5 linked regions of the Sus scrofa genome follow. Each later gene encodes a partner of the first gene's protein in a complex. Links are inferred from orthologs where the notes say so. Each region holds a gene or a part of one and is shown in the gene's direction. Other genes may lie near its edges.

What was found.
Region 2: LAMTOR1 (region 1) and FLCN share a complex: the UniProt entries of both Homo sapiens proteins name them as parts of the lysosomal folliculin complex. The link is inferred for Sus scrofa from reciprocal best matches to the Homo sapiens genes LAMTOR1 and FLCN.
Region 3: LAMTOR1 (region 1) and LAMTOR2 share a complex: the UniProt entries of both Homo sapiens proteins name them as parts of the ragulator complex. The link is inferred for Sus scrofa from reciprocal best matches to the Homo sapiens genes LAMTOR1 and LAMTOR2.
Region 4: LAMTOR1 (region 1) and FNIP1 share a complex: the UniProt entries of both Homo sapiens proteins name them as parts of the lysosomal folliculin complex. The link is inferred for Sus scrofa from reciprocal best matches to the Homo sapiens genes LAMTOR1 and FNIP1.
Region 5: LAMTOR1 (region 1) and LAMTOR5 share a complex: the UniProt entries of both Homo sapiens proteins name them as parts of the ragulator complex. The link is inferred for Sus scrofa from reciprocal best matches to the Homo sapiens genes LAMTOR1 and LAMTOR5.

The regions. Positions count from the first base shown.
Region 1 is NC_010451.4:6,677,265-6,681,302, reverse strand, and holds the start of LAMTOR1 (ragulator complex protein LAMTOR1), read left to right. Parts: upstream 1-1,235; 5' UTR 1,236-1,409; coding exon 1,410-1,451; intron 1,452-4,038. UniProt on the Homo sapiens protein: Key component of the Ragulator complex, a multiprotein complex involved in amino acid sensing and activation of mTORC1, a signaling complex promoting cell growth in response to growth factors, energy levels, and amino acids.
Region 2 is NC_010454.4:61,039,200-61,042,560, forward strand, and holds part of FLCN (folliculin), read left to right. Parts: intron 1-315; coding exon 316-407; exon of another isoform or gene 408-1,493; coding exon 1,494-1,684; exon of another isoform or gene 1,685-2,629; coding exon 2,630-2,743; intron 2,744-3,318; coding exon 3,319-3,361. UniProt on the Homo sapiens protein: Multi-functional protein, involved in both the cellular response to amino acid availability and in the regulation of glycolysis.
Region 3 is NC_010446.5:93,972,761-93,976,730, reverse strand, and holds the start of LAMTOR2 (ragulator complex protein LAMTOR2), read left to right. Parts: upstream 1-1,169; 5' UTR 1,170-1,377; coding exon 1,378-1,445; intron 1,446-1,751; coding exon 1,752-1,914; intron 1,915-3,970. Other genes in the region: UBQLN4 (ubiquilin-4), read right to left, coding at 144-251. UniProt on the Homo sapiens protein: As part of the Ragulator complex it is involved in amino acid sensing and activation of mTORC1, a signaling complex promoting cell growth in response to growth factors, energy levels, and amino acids.
Region 4 is NC_010444.4:134,090,600-134,094,664, reverse strand, and holds the start of FNIP1 (folliculin-interacting protein 1), read left to right. Parts: upstream 1-1,256; 5' UTR 1,257-1,396; coding exon 1,397-1,488; intron 1,489-4,065. UniProt on the Homo sapiens protein: Binding partner of the GTPase-activating protein FLCN: involved in the cellular response to amino acid availability by regulating the non-canonical mTORC1 signaling cascade controlling the MiT/TFE factors TFEB and TFE3.
Region 5 is NC_010446.5:109,721,485-109,725,470, forward strand, and holds the start of LAMTOR5 (ragulator complex protein LAMTOR5), read left to right. Parts: upstream 1-1,179; 5' UTR 1,180-1,310; coding exon 1,311-1,516; intron 1,517-2,389; coding exon 2,390-2,451; intron 2,452-3,986. UniProt on the Homo sapiens protein: As part of the Ragulator complex it is involved in amino acid sensing and activation of mTORC1, a signaling complex promoting cell growth in response to growth factors, energy levels, and amino acids.

The DNA.
Region 1 (4,038 bases):
CGCACAAGACAGGAGGGGGCAGTCCTCGGGGTGGGGAGGAACTCTGAGGCAGGCTGGACCTGCTCTCAATTATTGATGCTGAGGCTGCTGCTGTCACCTGAGAAGAGCAGGTCAAGTTACCAGCCCCAGGGACAAGCTGGAGCTGCCTCTTACCCTTCAGGAGCCTTCAAAGAACTTATAGAACTCCATGGTCTTGATTTGAAGGGTAACAGAGCTCCTGGGTTTGGGGATCTCTCCTTCAACCCCTTGGTTCAGGACAGAGTATGGTGTGAGCCAAGTTAATGGGAAGTTGTAATTTATTCATGAATTCCAAATTCTAAGCAAATGCTGAGGCTTAAGTCACCGAGAAGAGTCAGATCCTGCCCCCTGTCCCCGGGAACCCCACCTTTGGTAGAAGAGACTGACACAGGAACAGAGAACATAGTACAATGTGATCACTAGAACGCATGCTCTAACCACAGGGACTTCTGGCAGGCCCACACGGTGGGGGAGACAGCGTGCTAGGCCACGTGTGCAAAGTCCAGGAAGTCAACCAGGAAACAGTGTTTCCCCATGGTTGGTGAGACATTCACCCCATCCCTCCTCCACTGTCCCAGGCCTGGAGTGGGTGTCTGGCTCTGCAGAACCTTGCATGACAGACTTGGACTTGTCTTCAGAGTCCAAGGGAAGATGTGGCATGGTTCCAAGAAGAGCACTGATGATGTGCTTTGTGTGTTAGATTACTAGTACTGCTCTACAAAGGCAGCATTGAAGAGAAGTGCCCGACGGCCAGATCAGTGACACGGGCTGTATCTCCTCTCCCGGGATTGAGCTCCACTCTGCGTTGCTTGTGAAGGTATAAGTTTCCTTCTTCCAGTAAGTCTCGGACCCCCAGTCCACGTGGGAAGCCACACCCCACACCCCACGTTGGAAGTTACGCCGGGCAACCGGGGCCTATGGATGTGTAACCACATTGGGCGCTCTTTGAGCGTCGAGTCTGCATCCCCTCGCCCCTCCAATGGCATTCGGTATGAAATCGCCTAATGGCCCACAAAGGGAGCCTGGGGGCCCCCTCCCCGGACAACCCACGTCGCACAAGGAAGGGCCTCTCTCCCGGGCAGGGGAGGTCTCCAGCTGAGACCGCGAAGAGGCTGAAATCATGTGATTCACCCCTCCCGTTCCTGGCGTCACGTGTCTCACGGCCTGTCACGCGGGGACGCCTCCCCATTGGCTGGCAGTGATCACGCGCTGGGGGCGGGGCCGGATGCCGGGGTTCCGGCGGCAGCCGCGGCGAGCAGCAGCTCTGGAAAGGGGTTGGCGCGGGACTGTGGGTCTGTGCTGGATGCAGGCGCGGGTCATGTGACCGGAAGGGCTCCTGACGGACGCCGTCCCTGCTCGGCGCGGCCTGAGCGCCCGGCCCTACCCCCGCCATGGGGTGCTGCTACAGCAGCGAGAACGAGGACTCGGACCAGGTGCGGCCGCCGCGGGCGGGGCTCGGGAGCGAGGGCTGAGACCCCGGGGCACGGGGCCCAGAGAAAAGCCTGCGAAAGAGGGTCCGCCGGACTGTGGGGCTCCCCGAGTACGGAGGCCCGGAGGGGACAGCCTACAGAGGAGACGCCGGGCCGGGCTCCTACCCCCTTTAAAGCCCCAGTGCTGTCGGCACAGCCCCCGTGTTGGGGTGGCAGGCCGCCGCCTCTCCTGCTCGCCCCCGCCCGTTCCATTTGCCCCTACCTTGAGACCTTTACAACTTCAGGGATCCTCAGCCTAGGTCCCGGGGAAGCGCTCTCTTCCCAGGTTCCTGTGCCCGCTTCGTGTTTGTATTAGCGAGCTTTGTGAATCCGTTGTAGAGGTGGGTAAGCCGAGGCGCTAAGTCAGATTGAGCTGATGTGAGTCAGGAATCGTGTATAGACTCTGAATCCCTGGAGTTGAAGAAGGAAGGTCACTGCTAATCTGAGAGCAGAGAAGGCCTCTGGAAATTGGTGTCGTTTGAGTTGGTCAGTGAAGGGTTTAATAGACACGGTGAGGACTTGGGGGGGCGCGGCGTGTGGGAAGTTGGAAAGCCACAGATCACGTTTAGCTTCGGCTATGCTGAGGCTCGGGGAAGAGAGGTAGGACAGGGAACTCCGTTTGGCCTCCCTCAGTGCAGCCCCTGCCTGGAGCCTGAAGGCTCCTCTAGGTAGAGGGGGGCTTGTCCTGGGGAGTTGGGTGTAGATCTGGTTCCCTTGGCAGAAAGGATTAGGCTGGGAGGCACGTACAGTTTTAAATGCTCCCTCTTCCCCTTGGTGTATTCTCTCCTCTCACTTCTTGCCACACTTTAAACCCTGCCCTGCCTGACCTCCTTTGAGGAGGGGCAGACCTTTTCAAGGATGAAGTCTCACGTTGTTGGCCCCTTGCTTTTTTGTGGCCTCTAAGCCTGGAGTCTCCATTTCAACAGACCCAGAAACAGCAGGAAGGTTTCAGCAAGTGGAGTAGATGGTCACAGAAATGGATTACATCACTGGTACATGGGAAGTAGGTCCTTCTTCAGTGATTCACATGAACCTATTTGGGGTCAAGGACTTAAGCTTGGGAAACCACCATTTGTATGGGAGGCATGGGTGGCTCCTGGGCCTCATTAAGTCTCCGGACACCCCGTGGACGTACGCTCATGTTTCTGTGCCTGTGCTAGGTGTGCCTCAGGGCTGTGCCTCACAACTCACTGCAGGCAGCCTGTTAGGAATAGGAGACAGTGGCCCAGTCTACTGGGAAAACTGTGGCCTAATGGGAAATTGGCTCTTCAAGCATAGTGTGGACTCTTGCAGGGAATGAGTCAAAGGTTAGTGCTTTATGAGAAACCAGCTTCTAGTGGCAGCTGATGCTCTCCTGGTTCTCCCCCTCCCCTGATGGGCTTTCACTGCTGTTTCTAATTCCCAGAGATGGTGCTTGATCAGTCCTGGGCGATTTGAGGCCTCATGTGGCAAAGGTTTGCTTGCCTGGTCTGCAAGCCGTCACCATTCACTGTCCCCTCTTTCAGGTCTTGGGCAGGCCCCTTTCCTACTCTCATTTCTGCATCTTTGTTACAATAATAAAAAGAAATAACACGTTACAGTTTTCAAAGGCCTTTTACGATGCTCTCACTTGACTCTCTCCGAACCTCTGTCATCAGGTCATGTCTATTTGAAAGTGGAAAAAAAAAAGTTCAGACGGGCTGAGTGATTTAGCCACGGCTACACAGCTGAGAAGTGCCACAGCCAAGGTGTCATGATGCCAAGTTGCGTCTTTATCCATTGCGCCAAGCTGTGATTCTAGCTTTTCCCACAGACCAGGTGGCCAGTCACAGGCAGGCCACATGTGTGTCTGTGCTGCAGTAGAGAGTGAGACTCTGGACGTCCAGGTTGACAGTGACCCAGGGACAAACGGTGGCGTGAAAAACTACCCCCCCTGCTCCACTCACCCTCTTGTGGGTGGCGTGATGTTATTTGTTCACTCTGATGGCGGTAGTATGGCCTCTTCCAGGAGTCTAGGTTTCAGGAAAGCAACCTTGTTTTTCTTTTTTTGTTTTTTGCTTTTTAGGGCCGAACATGCGGCCTATGGAAGTTCCCAGGCTAGGGGTAGAATCAGAGCTTCAGCTGCCGGCCTACACCACAGCCACAGCCGCACGGGATCCTTAACCCTCTGAGTGAGACCAGGGTCCTGCGTCCTCATGGATTCTAGTCGGGTTCATTCCTGCTGAGCCACAGTGGGAATTCTCGCAACCTTGATTTTGAAGGACCCTGGATAGGGGAGAAACTGCCCTGTCCTGCAGGAGGATCTGTCTGAACTGGGGCTGGGGGAAGAATGGGCACGTAGCAAGCCAACTCTGGCTTCATTATGTAGTCAGCTTTCCTTGGTTTAATTTTTGGCAAACATTTGGTCTTTCTAGCCCTTTAATACCCTGTGTTTTAGGGAGGGCGGGGTGTCTAGAAGTTTGGAGCTGATGAGGCAGAAGCTGTTGGAAACTGTGGACACAGGCAGCTCAGGGTTGAGTAGGAAGAGGCTGTGAAGGGCTGGTCCCGTGCAGGGCGGGGCAGGCGGGGCCAG
Region 2 (3,361 bases), on another chromosome or scaffold:
GGCCCGATAAGGCCACACAGCCCAGGCCGCGGTCCCTCTGCGGGCCCTGCCACTGGGCGGACTGTGTGGTGGGGTCAGCGCCCCGCACAGGCGCTGGACCGTGCGGCAGGCTTCTCCGTCTAGACCCCGCCACCCCGACTTCCTGCCTTTGGTTGGAGGCCTGGGCCACGTGTGCTGTAGGGTCCGCTCGGGGCTTGCTCAGCCCCTTCTCTCACAGCCGTGCTTCCCGTTAGCCGTAGTCGGGGCGCGAGGCTGGCTTGCCCCTGGTCCAGTTCTGCCCCGGGGAAGGCGCGTCAGGGACGCTCTGTTCCGCAGGCTCCTGAAGGCGTGTGGCAGCCGGCTGACCGAGAAGCTCCTGGAAGGCGCGCCCACCGAGGACACCTTGGTCCAGATGGAGCAGCTCGCAGGTGAGCGGGCGCCGCGCCTGCCGGGGCTGGGGCCGCGGGGCCGTCTGCACCCCGCCACCCAGCGGGAAGCCATCGCAGAAGCTGGCTCTTCGCGCTTCGCCTCTTTCTCGCCGTTTCCTGTCTCGTTTTCCTTGACGGCCACTGGCGAGGGCTGTCGGCTGTCGCTCGGGAGAGACTCAGGACGGCTTGGAGCTTTCGCGTCCCTGTGTGACGTGAGCAGCCGCTTGGCCTTTCTGACGGTGATGCATCCTTTGCCCTTTTCTGGCCGCTGCGTGGCAAACAGAAGTTCCCGGGCCGGGGATCGAACCCAAGCCGCAGCAGCTGTGTCCTTAACCACCGGGCCACCAGGGACCCCAGTTCTTTGCGTTTTAACAGTAGAACATCGTACGTCACTGCACGTGGTGGCTCCCGAGCCTCTCGGCATTGGGGCCGCCCTCCCTGGGCTCCTGGTCTGCCGCTCTGTCTGGCCCGGCCCGGGGGCGCTGCTCCCCTCCGCGGTGAGGCGGCTTCCGGCGGTGCACATCCAGGGCTCGGTCCCCAGCCTCTCTGGGTGCGTCCGGTGCGCAGTTGTGCAGGTGACTGGCAGCACGCCCTGGAGCTGTTCCCAGGTTATTCCTGGAGTCGGGGGACTTGCGTCGTGTGGGGGGCAGCTGGTTCAGCCAGAGCAGGACCTGGTCAGGACACAGCCTCGCCTCCGGATTTGTGGCCACACGGGATGGCCTCTAAGTGGGGATGAAAGTTCCCGGCCCGTGAAGACGGCGAGGGCGGCCTGCGTCAAAATGTACTCACGCGGGGAGCCGGGCGTGCGTGTCGGGGGAGGGGACGCCCGCGTGCGGGGCTCACTCTCGGGACTGGGACTGTGTTTGGCCGCGAAGGTGAGCAGAGGGGCTCAGAGCGCACGCTGGGTGGGACACAGCTGCGTGACATCCTGGCTCGAGGGCACTCGTGAGGCCCTTTGCGTGTGACGCGGAGAGAAGACGCTGTGAACCACGCGTGTCCTTGGGCCGTGGTGGCCGTGTGCAGGGCACAGGGGACGCCGGCGCCCAGGGCAGCGCGGCGGGGACTGAGTCGGCGTCTGTGTTGCAGACCTGGAAGAGGAGTCGGAGAGCTGGGGCAGCCCCGAGGCCGCAGAGGAGGGGGAAGGCCCTGCACTGTCAGAGGCCGCGGGCGGCCGGGAGCTGGCCCAGCGCCCCCCGGACCCGGCCGTGCTCTCCGACCGTGGAGCCTGGCAGCCGCGGAAGCCCCCCGTCTTCAAGTCCCTGCGGCACATGCGGCAGGTAGGCGGCAGGTAGGGGAGCCGGGTCCCCTCCTCTCGGCTTCTCCGCATCCAGCGCCTCGTCCTTCGGGCCTGTCGTGTGCAGGAGACGCAGGAACTTCCTGGGGGGCGGCTGAGGGTGGCAGTGGCCTCTGGGATGTCAGTGAGGATACAGCGGCTTCTTTCAGAAAAGGCCTTACCGTTGACGTCTCACGATGCATCATTCTAGACCCTTCTAAAGGAATTGAACAGCACCGTGGGTTTGCGCACAGCGTAGGTGCCTCACACGTTGAAAACGGCGTCCGTTCTCACAGGGAGTGAGAGACCCCTGCCGTGCCCACCCCAGTGCCGCAGGTGCGCCCTGGGCCGTGAAGCCCAGGAGCGGAGCCTGTGGTGCAGCGCGTGGCGGGGGCCGGCGGGTGGGCGGGCGGGCGGACGGCGCGCTTGCGGAGGCGGCCTGTCCCTTTTGTCAGATGGAGTTGACTTTGACATCGAGCGTGAACCTGTCAGAAAAGGGTCGTTTCTCTTCTGGACAGTGAAGTGGAGACTGACCTCAGGGCAGGTGGTCTTCGGGGCCTCGGGATGAAAAAGAGCCGCCTGTCAAATCCACCCTCAATGCGGCCGCTCGCGTGGGTTAAAGCCGGAGGCTTTGATCCCGCCGGCTCGCGCTGACGTGATTTGGCAAAGCTTCAGCGTGTAGAGCAGGAGAGAAGTGGACAAAAAGCCAGCACTTAACTGCCTCAAGTTTTTGAGAACAGCGTCGGGGAACAGATGTTAATGTGCGCAGGAGCCTCGGGGTCAGCCTGCGCCCTCCTGCCTCGGGCAGGTTCACCCGGCCTCCCGGAGACGCTGCCTGTCCTGACCGGTCTCCATTCTCGCTGCAGAGGAAGTTTCTAGACAGACGCACGGACACCTTCCCCGGGGCGGGAAGAAGGCTCGCGCGCGAGACCGCGACCGTGTCTTGCAGGTGCTGGGGGCCCCGTCCTTTCGCATGCTGGCCTGGCACGTGCTCATGGGGAACCAGGTCATCTGGAAGAGCAGAGACGCGGACCTCGTCCACTCAGCCTTCGAGGTTCTCCGGGTGAGCGGGTCTTTCTTCTTACGTGTTTCGTGGCAGGAGTGTCGGCCTGGCGGGTCTCACACAGCCGGGTGAGGACGCAGCAGAGACCGGGCGCAGGGTCGCGCCTGCGTCTCGGGTCTGCGTGTGTCCACCACTCCCAAGGGCGGTCGTCCGTGGTTTTCACTCCAGCCCGTGGTCCACGCTGTGCTGATGGGTGGCTGACCGTCCCGGCGGCCGCGCCCCCCAGCCCAGGGCCTCTGAGAAGCCGTCACTCGGGGAGGCGGGTCTGGGCCCCCGCCGTCCGCTGCTCAGGGCTCGCCGAGAGCCCCTGGGGCGAGGTGTGGCTGCCTCCCCGGAGGCCGAGGGGGCGCCGGGCCCAGGTCTGGCTCTGCCAGTGTGCGCGAGTGTGCGCGAGGGTGCACACCAGCCCCTGCCGAGGCCCCCGAGGCCGCAGAGTGAACCGGCCTCTCCAGAGCCTTAGAGGCTTTTGGGGGGTGAGGCGAGAGACGGACGCCTGAGGTCAGAGCAGCGGGAGAGCTGGGGGGACCTGGGGGCCGCGTTGGCGGGGCCGGTTCTGAGGCGCCCTGTCCCCCCAGACCATGCTGCCCGTGGGCTGCGTCCGCGTCATCCCCTACAGCG
Region 3 (3,970 bases), on another chromosome or scaffold:
CTCTTCCCTCCCGCTTCCCCGAGTGCCTGCTGGGCCCCCGCCCTCCTCTCCCCGGCCCTCCCATACGCCCGACGGTCTCAGAGACACCCCCCTCTTCACAGACCACTCCTCCGCACCCCCCCAATCCCCACCACCCGTACTACCTCCTTGACCGAGGCTCGATCGCAGATCACAATTTCCTCCTTGTCCTTAGGGGTCTTGACGGTGACCCGAATCGGGGGCCTCGTCTCGGCCCCGCTCGGCTCCGCCATGCCGCCGCCGCCGCCGCCACCCGGCCGCCCGCCAGCCCGCCCCGGCTCCTCCTCCTCCCCGCCCGCCCGGCGGTGCTCGGCTCCGGCGCCTCCAACACTCCCCTCTCCCCTCCCCTCCCCAAGGCTTCACCGCCCCCTCCGGACCAGCCGCAGCCACAGCGCCCCGGGCGGACCGGGGGGGCCACTGCAGCGGGGTCCGCCCAGGGCCGAGCCCGGGGTCTGCAGCCTGGGCAGGGCCTTGCTGGGCGGCGGCCCCCAAAGGGGCTGCTCCGGACAGGGGCGGGAAGCAAACTCTCCGGGAGAGACCACCGCCCGTGGTAGCCGGTCCGAGTCGCGCTGAGGTGCCAACCCCCCGCCCCCGGGCCCAAAGCTACCCGCCCCCTCCGCGACTAACTCTTTCTCCGGGACAAAGGACTTTCTGTGTCGCCGCTTTATCTCCGTTCCCTATGATAACTGGTCTTTCTTGGAAAGCCCAAATCCTTTCCAGGCCTGAGGCTTCTCCCGACTTGGAGGCTGAATTTTCCACTTCTGGATATCTACCTAAAACCTCTTCTGTAGGATTGACTTAATTCCCCTGAGGGTAGCGGCCTCCAAGAAGTCTATTCAGTACAGTTCCAGAGACCTGGATTTTTGCCTGCATGGCCTTTCTGAGCCTATTTCCTCAATAGCATCTATCTCCTCATCTCACAGAATTATGCATAATGTAGAAAATTGCTTTGAGAAGTAACCCAAGGTATGCCTGACAAGTATAGGAATTTTGTTTTCTTTTAATTACTGAATCGTGGATTGTCAAGCAGATATGACTCCTCTGCCCGAGAGGGTTAAATGTCCTTCCAGTACTGCCACTATCCTTTTACTCCCGCTCTTTTCCCCCATAACCGCGTGGTCTCACTGGAAAGGCGAACTGTAGTTCCCAGGGTGCCTCGCGAAGCTTCGAGGAACTACAATTCCCAGCGCCCCCCGCGGTGAGGCGGGGTTGAGTCAGAACCGCACAGTCAGGCCAGGAAACTACAACTCCCAGGAGTTCTGGAGCCGGGCAGCTGGACTACGGGAAGCGGCAGGCGGAGGCCAGTTATAGGAAACTCCGGGATCAGGTTGTGAAAGCCCAGGGTTAGGAGCCACAGGCATGCTGCGTCCCAAGGCTTTGACCCAGGTGCTAAGCCAAGCTAACACTGGAGGTGTCCAGAGCACCCTGTGAGTGCGGACCGAGAGGCCGAGCGGCGAGCACTGGAGTGGGGCTGCGCGCGGCTCTCCGAGGGAGGGGTGGGGAAGGCTCTCTGGGAAGGGAGGAGGTGGCAGAGGGGGCAGCCTTTGGGTGAACCGGCGAGAGGGCCACTCTTGAAAGAGAAACTGACGTGCTGGGTGTTTGGGGCATGTTCTAGGACACACTCAACCCAGACCCTTGCTTTCTAGGAGCGCCGGTGGGCGAGTTGGGATGGAAAGTCAGGTATTTTACTCCCCATCCTGAGCACGTTGATATCCGTTCTGATGCTTTTCCAGGCTGCTGAATAACGAGGGATCTCTGTTGGCCTACTCTGGTTACGGGGATACGGACGCCCGAGTCACTGCAGCCATCGCCAGTAACATCTGGGCGGCCTACGACCGGAACGGGAACCAAGCATTTAACGAAGACAATCTCAAATTCATCCTCATGGACTGCATGGTATGGAGAGGGGAGCCATTTCCTCTGTCCCTAAGGGGACCCCCAAGGGGCACCCTGGACCCCATCCTGGATGGTTGGGGCCCAGGGACAGGATTTCTGGAAGATTACTAAGAGTTGGTCTGCAGCAGCATTTATAATAGGCAGGACCCTATGTATCAAGTGGTGATGAGGAAGGAGTATTGGACCCGAGGTCTGGCTGGGTTCTAGTCTCAGCCAGCCACTTGCCATTTGTGGAACCTTGGGTAAGTCACAAGCTTTTTTACCACATCTCCAGTGTGAAAATAATCCCCACCACCACATCACGCACACAGGGTTGTTGTGATCAAATGAAAGGGTAGGTGTAAACTGTAGAGTGATATGCAGACACAAAGTGTTGTCATCTGAGATTCTCAGACTCAGAAGCATGGCAAAGTGTCCAGACCCTAGTCCAGTTCCTTCAGTTTACAGAAAAAGGAGATAAAGTCCAGAAAGAGGAAGCGCCATTAGACTGAATTTCTTGGGAACAGAACCTGTCTCATTCACCTTTATATCTGTTCAGTTAACAAATTTTTAGGTCCTTGCAGTATTCTCAGGACCTGGGAAAAAAATAGCAAACAGGACAAACAAAAACTGCAGCCCTAATGTCTCATATATGCCTTAAAATAAGTAAAATATGTATGTTTGTAAAATCAGTTCATAAATATGTTTTGTAACATACATACATAAGTTTAAAAAGTAGTATGTGGAGTTCCCGTCATGGCTCAGTGGATTAAGAACTAGTATCCAGGAGTTCCCGTTGTGGTGCAGCAGAAAAAAATCCTACTAAGAACCATGAGGTTGCAGGTTCAATCCCTGGTCTTGCTCAGTGGGTTAAGGATCCAGCGTTGCCATGAGCTGTGGTGTAGGTCGCAGACTCAACTTGGATCTGGTGCATTGCTGTGGCTGTGGCATAGGCTGGCAGCTGTAGCTCTGATTATATCCATAGGCTGGGAACCTCCCTATGCTTCGGGCGTGGCTCTAAGAAGCAAAACAAAACAAAAAACTGGTATCCATGGAGATGAAGGTGGATCCCTGGCTGGCTCAGTGGGTTAAGTATCCGGCATTGCTGCAAGCTGCAGCATAGGTCTCAGATTCGTCTCAGCTCCCATGTCTGCTGTGTCTATGGTGTAGGCCAGCAGCTGCCACTCTGATTCCATCCTTAGGCCAGGCACTTCTGTATGCTGCAGGTGCGGCCCTAGAAAGAAAGAAAAAGTAGTATGTTAGGTATTGAAAATGCTGTGGAGAAAAAGCAAGGAAGTGAGAGAGGGACAATATTACTGCAAAGGGGACAAGTCATCATAGATCTAAAGGAAGCTGGCAAGCCATATGGCTGTCTGGGCGAAGAACATTTCTGACAGAGAGAACAGTAAGTACAAAGGCCCTGAGGCAGAGGCACAATGATGCCTGGTCAAGAATCAACAAGGTTGAAGTGGCTGGAGTAGCGAGAGAATGGGAGAGGTTAGTAGATGAGGCCAGAGAGGCAGGAGATGCAGCATCTGGTTCTAAGCACACAGTGGATATTTAGTGAAAGTTTTCTGAGCCAAACTGAAAAGTCCCCAAGAGTGAACTTTCCAGAAAGAATTGCCAGTGGAACTCAGTCAGCAGCCTCTTCCTTACTCCCTTAACCAAGGATGCCAGTTCAACTGATGACTCCTAACTAGTGATTCCTAGGTTGCCTGCCCTAGAACTGGTGATCTAAGGGCAATAGCTTTCAAGTGTTTTGACCACAGTGCAGCCATAATAAATATATTTTAAGTCAGAGTATCCCACTAAAATCAAAGTTTCCTAAAACAGTACTTTCCTTACTGTATGCGATGTACTTCATTTCTCTTTTTTTTTTCTTTTCAAAGCTGATCAGCCTTCTTAATTGAACTAGGGTCAGTTAATCCCTTCCTGTCTATTAGCACCCTCATCAACTAGAGTGGGATAGTTGAGAAGAGGAGAAACTGAGCTTCTGGGAGATTGAGTTTCCCAGGGTAACTTGGTTAGTAGGTGGCTGTGCTGAAGCTGGAATGGGCTCAGGACTCCATGTCCAAGG
Region 4 (4,065 bases), on another chromosome or scaffold:
AAATTCTTGTAACATTGAAACAGCATGTTATGTTATATGACCACTGAAATTCTTTGAGATGTTCTGCCTATTATTTTCTTCATTCTATATAAGATCACCTATTTTATAGAATAAACTATAGCTGCAAATCAGTGCGAGTTAGTAGCCACTTGAAGAGACAATTTGATTTGTATGCCTAAAATGAAATTCTCAACTATTTTAAGCTAACCTTCCAAACCACATAGCAGTAGTTTCCTGACATCCCTGTCAGAGAATTGCCACCCCGCGGTACAAAATTCCTTATCCTGGAGGGGCAGCAGGTGAATGAATAGTGGTGTTGAAAACATCTAAGAGCAATATGACCCAAACCCTGATAAATTTTGGATTAACCTACTTATTAGATTGTAAGATCATCTATGAGCAATGTTTTTCTTTTGAAAGGGTTCCTCCTATTAAACTCATTTGTTCAAATTCCACAGTTGCACTCTCTCTCCATACCTAGATATTAAGATTGAGCCTAAATCCTGAGCCTCTATGGCCAGCTCTTCCAAGAGGCTAATTCCTGGTACATCAGCGTTCGAGAAGCTATTGGAAACACGGAGGGCCGATGCGGGCAGTTTCTTGCCCAGGCCGTTTCTGCGGGGAGTACTGGCTTTGGCGAGTGTCTTAGCAGGGTCCTCAAGTGGACTGCATAAGCCAGCCCGGCGCTATCGAGCTCTGAGCTCATACCTCTCGCGGCCCAGCACGGTAGGGCCTACGGCCCTGGGTTTAAAGTCCAGGCCGTGCGGGGGTGGGGGCCAAGGGTACGCTCTCGCGCCTTGTCTGCTCCGGGGGCCGCGGTACTCTGCCAGGAGCAGATGGAGGTGTGAAGCCGCAAAGGCCAAGGAGGAGATGGCGGGGGAGGGTCGAGTACTCGTGGTGCCCTAAATCTCTCTTTGTCGTGGGTGCGGAGAACCTCTGCGCTCCAAAATGCCTGGCGTCGTCCCGGCGACACCCTGCCGTAGCCTCAGGTAGCAACCGAGAGCTTCACTGAGTAGAACCGGGACCCGCGCACACACCTCCTTCACTTCCCCAACCACCCGTCCGTTCCCCGCCCCTCCCCTCCGCGCACGCCCCGCTCCACGCACGCCCCGCCTCTTGAGCTGCCACGGGAGGCTATTCGGACGCCAGCCTATGGACGCCAGCCCCGCCCCGCGCCCCCGCCTTGCACCCTGCTCTGCGCGCCGCCACGTGATGCGGCTCACTGCCAGCCAATGGGCGCAGGCCTTGCCTCTCGCCCCGCCCCGCGCGCCGTGGCCGTTTGAAGTGACTAATTTCTGTCATATGACTGAGGCGCCTATGGGGGTGGCGGGGCAGCTCTAGGAGCAGGGGCCTGGCGAGAGCCTTGAGGAGCGACCCTGGCCTGGCCGTGGCCACCATGGCTCCTACGCTGTTCCAGAAGCTCTTCAGCAAGAGGAACGGCCTGGGGGCGTCTGGTCGGGATGCAAGAGACCCGGATTGTGCGTTCAGGTAGGCACTGCAGGGCGAGGGGCGCGAGGCCGATGGCCTGGTGGCCTCGGCTTCCAGAGGTGCTGGGGCTTTCGGTGTTCACGCTCGCGCGGTAGCGCCGCGCCAGGACCGGGATCTGAGCCGGCGGTCGGGAGGGGCCGAGCAGCTTTGTGCTGGAGTGTTCGAGCGAGCTCCTTTCTCCCCAACCCCCCAACCCCATGGCTGCCCCTTCCTCTTCGTCCGGGTGGGTTTGTTTACGCCTTGCTCGTCAGCCGCTCGCGGGTCTGCCCCACAGGACCGAGCATCGCGGCTGAGCTTAGGGTCCACACGCCTTCCTGGAGGCGCGTAGAGTTGGGCGCGGGCTGGATTGGACCTCAGCCGCCGTCCTCCGGGCGGAGTAGTTCTCCCCTCCTCCCCGTGCCCAGTCGTCCTCTGGGTGCTCCATTCCAGTTTGGTTGCTGTCGTGGAGAGAGCGGCACGTTTTGGCCAACCTTCCGAGTTTAGAGTAGGCTGTTTCAGTAGACAAGCTGCCATTCTTTCGCATTTCTTGTAAACCTAAATTGAAGGTGTGTAGATACCGGACCTAGTGGCCCTAATGTTACCGAAGGAGGGAGATACGTGAAACCTCAGAGGTTGTGGTTATTACTGACCAGAATGAGGCTGCGCTAAATCAAATGAAGCACAGCCATAGAATTGACCATCCTCTTGAGACTGTTACTAAAAATGAGTCTTTAAAGATTGAGACTGATAGCGACATATTTTGTGGTATTACAGGCTTTGTTAATTTTTGGTTGCAGTACCTGTTGCTGATAGGAAAACTTTAAAATTGTAAGACTTAATAATAAGCCTGAATTCCAGGTAAAATTTAGTTTCGAAACTTCTTTTGAAGATGAGATTATGTCTTCCAAACAGCCTTCATACTTGTTGCCGTGTGAAAGCTTGTGAATGTAACTAGGCTAAATGTCAAATATCACTCAATCTTGGTAGGGTAGCAAAGAGCCCAGTTGTACAGTAGTAGTAGGAAAAAATGAACATCTGTTAAATTTTGCAACACCCACAGTCTAAAATGACTGCACCACACTGGTTTAAAAGGTTTTGATAATCCTAAAATTATTCACTCTCGGTAATACAGGTCCCATTAATACATATTCAGTAAAGTAAAATTGAGGTATTAAATGGAAAGAAGTTTGACTTTTAGAGGAAGAAAAATGTAAATGGTGAACATCTTGGAACGGTGCTTCGAAAAGACAGTTATCTAGCTTTCGGTCCTTTCTACTGGGAAATAAATGTCTTGCCCTGTTCATCTAATGACTTTCTTTAAAGATTTCTTTGGTATTTTTATTTTGAAAAATGAAAGTGCAGTGTAGATCATACTACATTGAGCCATCTAGTAAGCCAAGGGTCAGTAGAAAGTAAGTTCAGGAGGGATATTAAAATATTTGAAGAGGCATTCTATTTCTGAGCAAAGATTCACTTTGGGGTACCCAAGTTTCCAAGCATCTCAAGTCATTGTTTTGAAAACAAAACAAAACTGTTTTTTGAAAATGTAAGTATTCTGTATGGTTGTGTAATACTACTTCAGAGTTGCTCAAGTGCTTTCTCATCGGTTATCTCATGTGATGTTTCACAACAACCTTGTGAGATAGGGCAAGTAGCAGTGTAGATAAATACATGATACTTCTTCCAGTGAAATTAAGAATTATGTGTAAGCACAATAACTGCAGAATAGTATGGAAGTTATTACTTTAAAAAATGTGTGGAAGTGTACATTTGAGAAGATGAAAACTAGTAACAACACACACCTAATAACTTGCAAATTTAATCAACCCAAGTTTTTTTTTAACATCTTCATTGAGCTGTAATTTACATGCAGTGAAATTGAGCCATTTTAAGTGTATAGTTATATGAATTTTGCTATATGTATTCAGTTGTGTACCCCTCACTTCAGTGAGGTTTTAGAACATTGCAACACCCCTAGAACCCCTCATGCCCCTTTTCTGTCGTTCCTTAACCCCTCCTGCCCAGGGCAATCACTGATCCGCTTTTTGTGTAATTACAAAGGTTTTGACTTTTCTAGAATCTTTTGTGTCTGGCTTATTTTAATTCTTGATGATTTTGACATTCATCCATGTTTTGCATTTATCAGTAGTTCCTCCCATTTTATTGCTGAATAGTTTTCCATTGTATAGGTACACCACAATTTATTTATCCATTCCCTGGTTGGGAAACATTTGGGTTGTTTTCAGATTTGGGCTATAAGGAACAATGCTGCTGTGAACATTTGTGAACAATCCTTACCCAGAAATAGGTTTTCATTTCTCTAGGAGTGGGATTGCTGGGTCATATGCAAAGTATATGCTTAACTTTTTAAAAAAATTGCCAAGCTTTCCCAAAATAGTTGTACCATTTGTATTCCCACTGGCAGTGTGTGAAGGTTACAGTTGTTCCAGATCCTCTGCAATAACTGATATTGTTAGTCTGATTTTTTTTATAAGCTTTTTTTTACGTTGTAAAAAATACCTGACAAAATGTACTGTTAACCATTTTAGAGTTTTGATTATATACATTCTAATGGGCATAGAAAATCTTGTGATTTTA
Region 5 (3,986 bases), on another chromosome or scaffold:
GTGTAAACTGGAACCACCTTTCTGGGGGGTAACTTGTAAGTGTATATTAAAAGACTTTAAAACCTTGACCCAATAATTCCATTCTTGTAACTTACTATAAGAAAAAATTTAAACTGCACAAATATTTGGCCATAAGAATATTCATCCAGCATTTGTCACAGCCAAAACCCAAACATAACAACGACAACAACAAAACTATAAGCAACCTAACTGTACATTAATAAGGGGTTGGTTAAGCTATAATATGTAATATTTTCTAAGTATTACAAATGCCGTAAATGAACTTTATGTCAGAAAGACATTTTTGCTAAATTTTGTGAAAAAGATAAGCTACAGAATTGTTTGTACAATATGTGTGTCAACTTAGCTTTAAAAAAGAAAAAACAATAACACAAAGTATACATTTGCAAAGACAACCAACCGGCGGAAAGAATATTCTCCAAGGCCTTATCAGTCATCTCCGGACAAAGACAATGGGTGGGCTTTCTTTCCTTATTTTTACAACTGCTTTTTTTTTTAATTTTTGTCTTTATGTCTTTTCTAGGGCCGCTCCTGCGGCATATGGAGGTTCCCAGGCTAGGGGTCGAATCGGAGCTGTAGTAGCCCGCCTACGCCAGAGCCACCACAGCAACGTGGGATCGAGCCGGGTCTGCGACCTACACCACAGCTCACCGCAACGCCGGATCTTTAACCCACTAAGCAAGCCAGGGATCGAACATACAACCTCATGGTTCCTAGTCGGATTCGTTAGCCACTGAGCCACGACCAGAACTCCCTATAACTGCTTTTGTAATTAACTTTTTTTAAAGGTTACTTTTTAAGTGGTCCTACCCAGTCTTTATTACAATGACACCTTCTTTCTCAAACGTTCCCGAATCCTCTCCAAAGAGGAAGAACCAACGTCTTCGAAAAATCGCAACACTTGCCCCCCTACCCAGCTTGGGGTTTTAATTTTGTTCCGCCTCATCCTCTAGTCCCTTGTCCTTCCTCTCTTTGTCCCTCCAAGCCTGGGGAACCCTTCATCGGAATCCTGTGTCTCTCTTGTCTGTCCCTGCCCTACCACCTGGATGGGACCCCGCGGGGCCGGCCGGATTATTGTAAAACTTCAACCAGACCTGGCCCGACTTCTCGGAGTCGGTGGAATCGAAATCCAAAGGTCTGTACGGCGGAGACAAAGGGACAGGCCAGGAAGCTGGCTCCAAGGGAAGACTACAGACCTCCCTCCCGGGGGTACATCCCGCGCGGTCCCCTCGCGGGTCGCACCCCAGGCAGCAGAACCCCGCCCAGCTCGCGGCGGCAGAGGGCGCGTAATGACATCATCCCGGAGAAAACGCCGAGACTGCGCCACGAAGTTTGTCCCTTTGGAGGCGCCGTCCAGGTCCGCGTCCTGCTCGCATCATGTGACTGACCAAGCGGAGCCGGAGACCAGTTTCCTAGGAGAAGACCCACCGTGGGTGGTGCGCCCGGCGGACGGCGGCGGGATGGAAGCAACCTTGGAGCAGCACTTGGAGGACACGTAAGTAATGTGGCCACGTCGGCCTGTCCTGGGTTCGCGGCGGGCCTGTCCTTGAGCGCAACAGAAGGCGCGAGCTGTGACTGCCCGCTGGGCTTCTTGGGGACGTTCTCTCCCCGGGCCGCCGATGGGAGTGGAGGGTAACCCGGAATTAAATCCCGCCGGTGCTCCGCACACTCCCTCCGGAACAAGTGTCCCGGGTCCGAGCCCAAATCCCGCCTGTCGTGTAGAAATTGTTTGGGCGGGGCCGTTCTTTAGGAGTTTTAGGAACCGAGTTCATTTGGGGGAAGGAGGTACCTACCACCTGTATCTTCAGTGTAAACGTAAACACACACGCGTACCTCCTTCTGGTGTAACCAGTTATTTGGTGCTCAAGAAGATGAAAGACATCCTTTAAATTTTTCGAACAGATAGTGTCTACGTAAAATCCAAAATTAGAAAAGTTTAAGACGGCGTACAGGGAGACACCTCCCTTGCATCAGGGCCGCTCAGCTTCCCACTTCCTCTCCATGGGGCAACCAGTTTTAGTTAGCTTTTCAGCAGTTCTTTCAAGTGAGAGAGTAGGCTAAAATACATATTTTTAACGAGGGCAACAAAATCCTAGCTATTGCAACGTTTGTAGCCCTCCAAAGCTTAGCAGTACCTGGCAGTCTTTTCTCTCATCAGAGAGAAATTAGTTTAACCATCATTAAAGTTAGCTTATTATGATTTAATGTAATTTTTCTTGGAGTAGGGATGAGGGATAAAGAAAAAAGACTAACACTGATTTAAAGCACTTAACAGCAGTGCTGGGTACATAGAAAGCCTGTGTGTGTTATATTTAAATCCATTTTTCCTACATCATTTGCTTCTTTCTTCCTGTGTCCCTGGAATTAGAATGAAGAATCCATCCATTGTTGGAGTCCTGTGCACAGATTCACAAGGACTCAATCTGGGATGTAAGTATCTGACAACAGCCCTTCCAGGGATTGCACAGCACTTGATGTTGACTGGGAGCCTAGGGTGCTTTCTCTAGTTTGCATTTCCTGCCACCCTGCCACTTTTGGGGGACTTTTCTGTAAATAGAGATCATCTCCCAATAGCAAAATTAGAAAACTGAATGTTTTCAGTTGATACTTATAAAGGTGGAGATGTCCCTTGCAGTTCTAGCACTACATAGTTGTTTCTTCTAGAATAGTATTTGAATCATTCTAAACAGAGTCTAGAAAGGACTTCAGATAATGACAGCAGTTACCATTTATTGAATGTATTTTGGGACTGCTAAATTTCCCCAGTAACCCTGCCAGATGGATGGTGTTATTTTTTAGTTCAACTTCACTGAACAGTAAGTAGGCAGTAAAAATGAGGGGTGCAAGCTCAGACACACCTAGGTTCAACCCCCAGCCCTCCCCTGTACTACTAGTGTGAACCTGGACCAAAAAGAACCTTTCCGAATTTCAGTTTCTGTAGTGGGTTGTTGTTTGATAATAATTATTATTATGGAATTGCACTTACTGAGCTCTATGTGCCAGGCACCATTATAAGCACTTTCCACATATCAAGTCATTTAATCCTTGTAACAATCCTATGAGGTAGATAAAGAAATTGAGGCACAGAGGTTGAGTAACTGGACCAGGGTCATACAACTAGTAAGTGATTGAGCTAGGATTTGAGTCTGGCCCCAAAGCCTCTACATCACAATAATATAGGATCATATAAAATATGTAAAACACTCAGCACAGAACCCAGACATGATGCTCAACAGATAGTAACAAATTGCAGATGAGGAAAGAAATCCAGAAAGGTAAACAATGGGAGGCTTCAGCTAATTAATGTCAGAACTAGTAAACCCAGGACACCCTGCTCACTACTCTTCTGTTCTGCAAGATTTTTTTAAAGCTCTGAATTTTTGCAGGGAGGGTAATTGAAAGAATTAGTCTGTGTAACTCAGGTTTTATACACAAATCAGTTAGTTGGAAGAAAAGGGAGATTTTTTTTTTTTTTTTTTTGAGGTGCTTGCCAGGTTTACAGATGGAAAGGTTGAGATTCAAGTATGGAAATCTAAAACTAAATTAATTTCTTTAAGAAACTTTCAAGGTCCCACAGATGAACCTACCTACAAAACAGAAACAGACTCACAGACATAAAGAACAGACTTGTGGTTGCCAAGGGGGAGGAGGGAGGGAGTGGGATGGACTGGGAGTTTGGGGTTAGTAGATGCAAACTATTACATGTAGAATGGAGAAACCATGAGGTCCTACTGTATACCCCAGGGAACTATATCCAATCTCTTAGGATAGACCATGATGGAAGATAATATAAGAAAAGAAATGTGTGTGTGTGCGGTCACTTTGCTGTACAGCAGAAATTGGCATGACATTGTAAATCAATTACTGTTTAATAAAAATATATATAAATTTATTTTTTTATTGCTCAAATGAATTTATCACATCTGTAGTTGTATAATGATCATAACAATCCAATTTCACAGGAT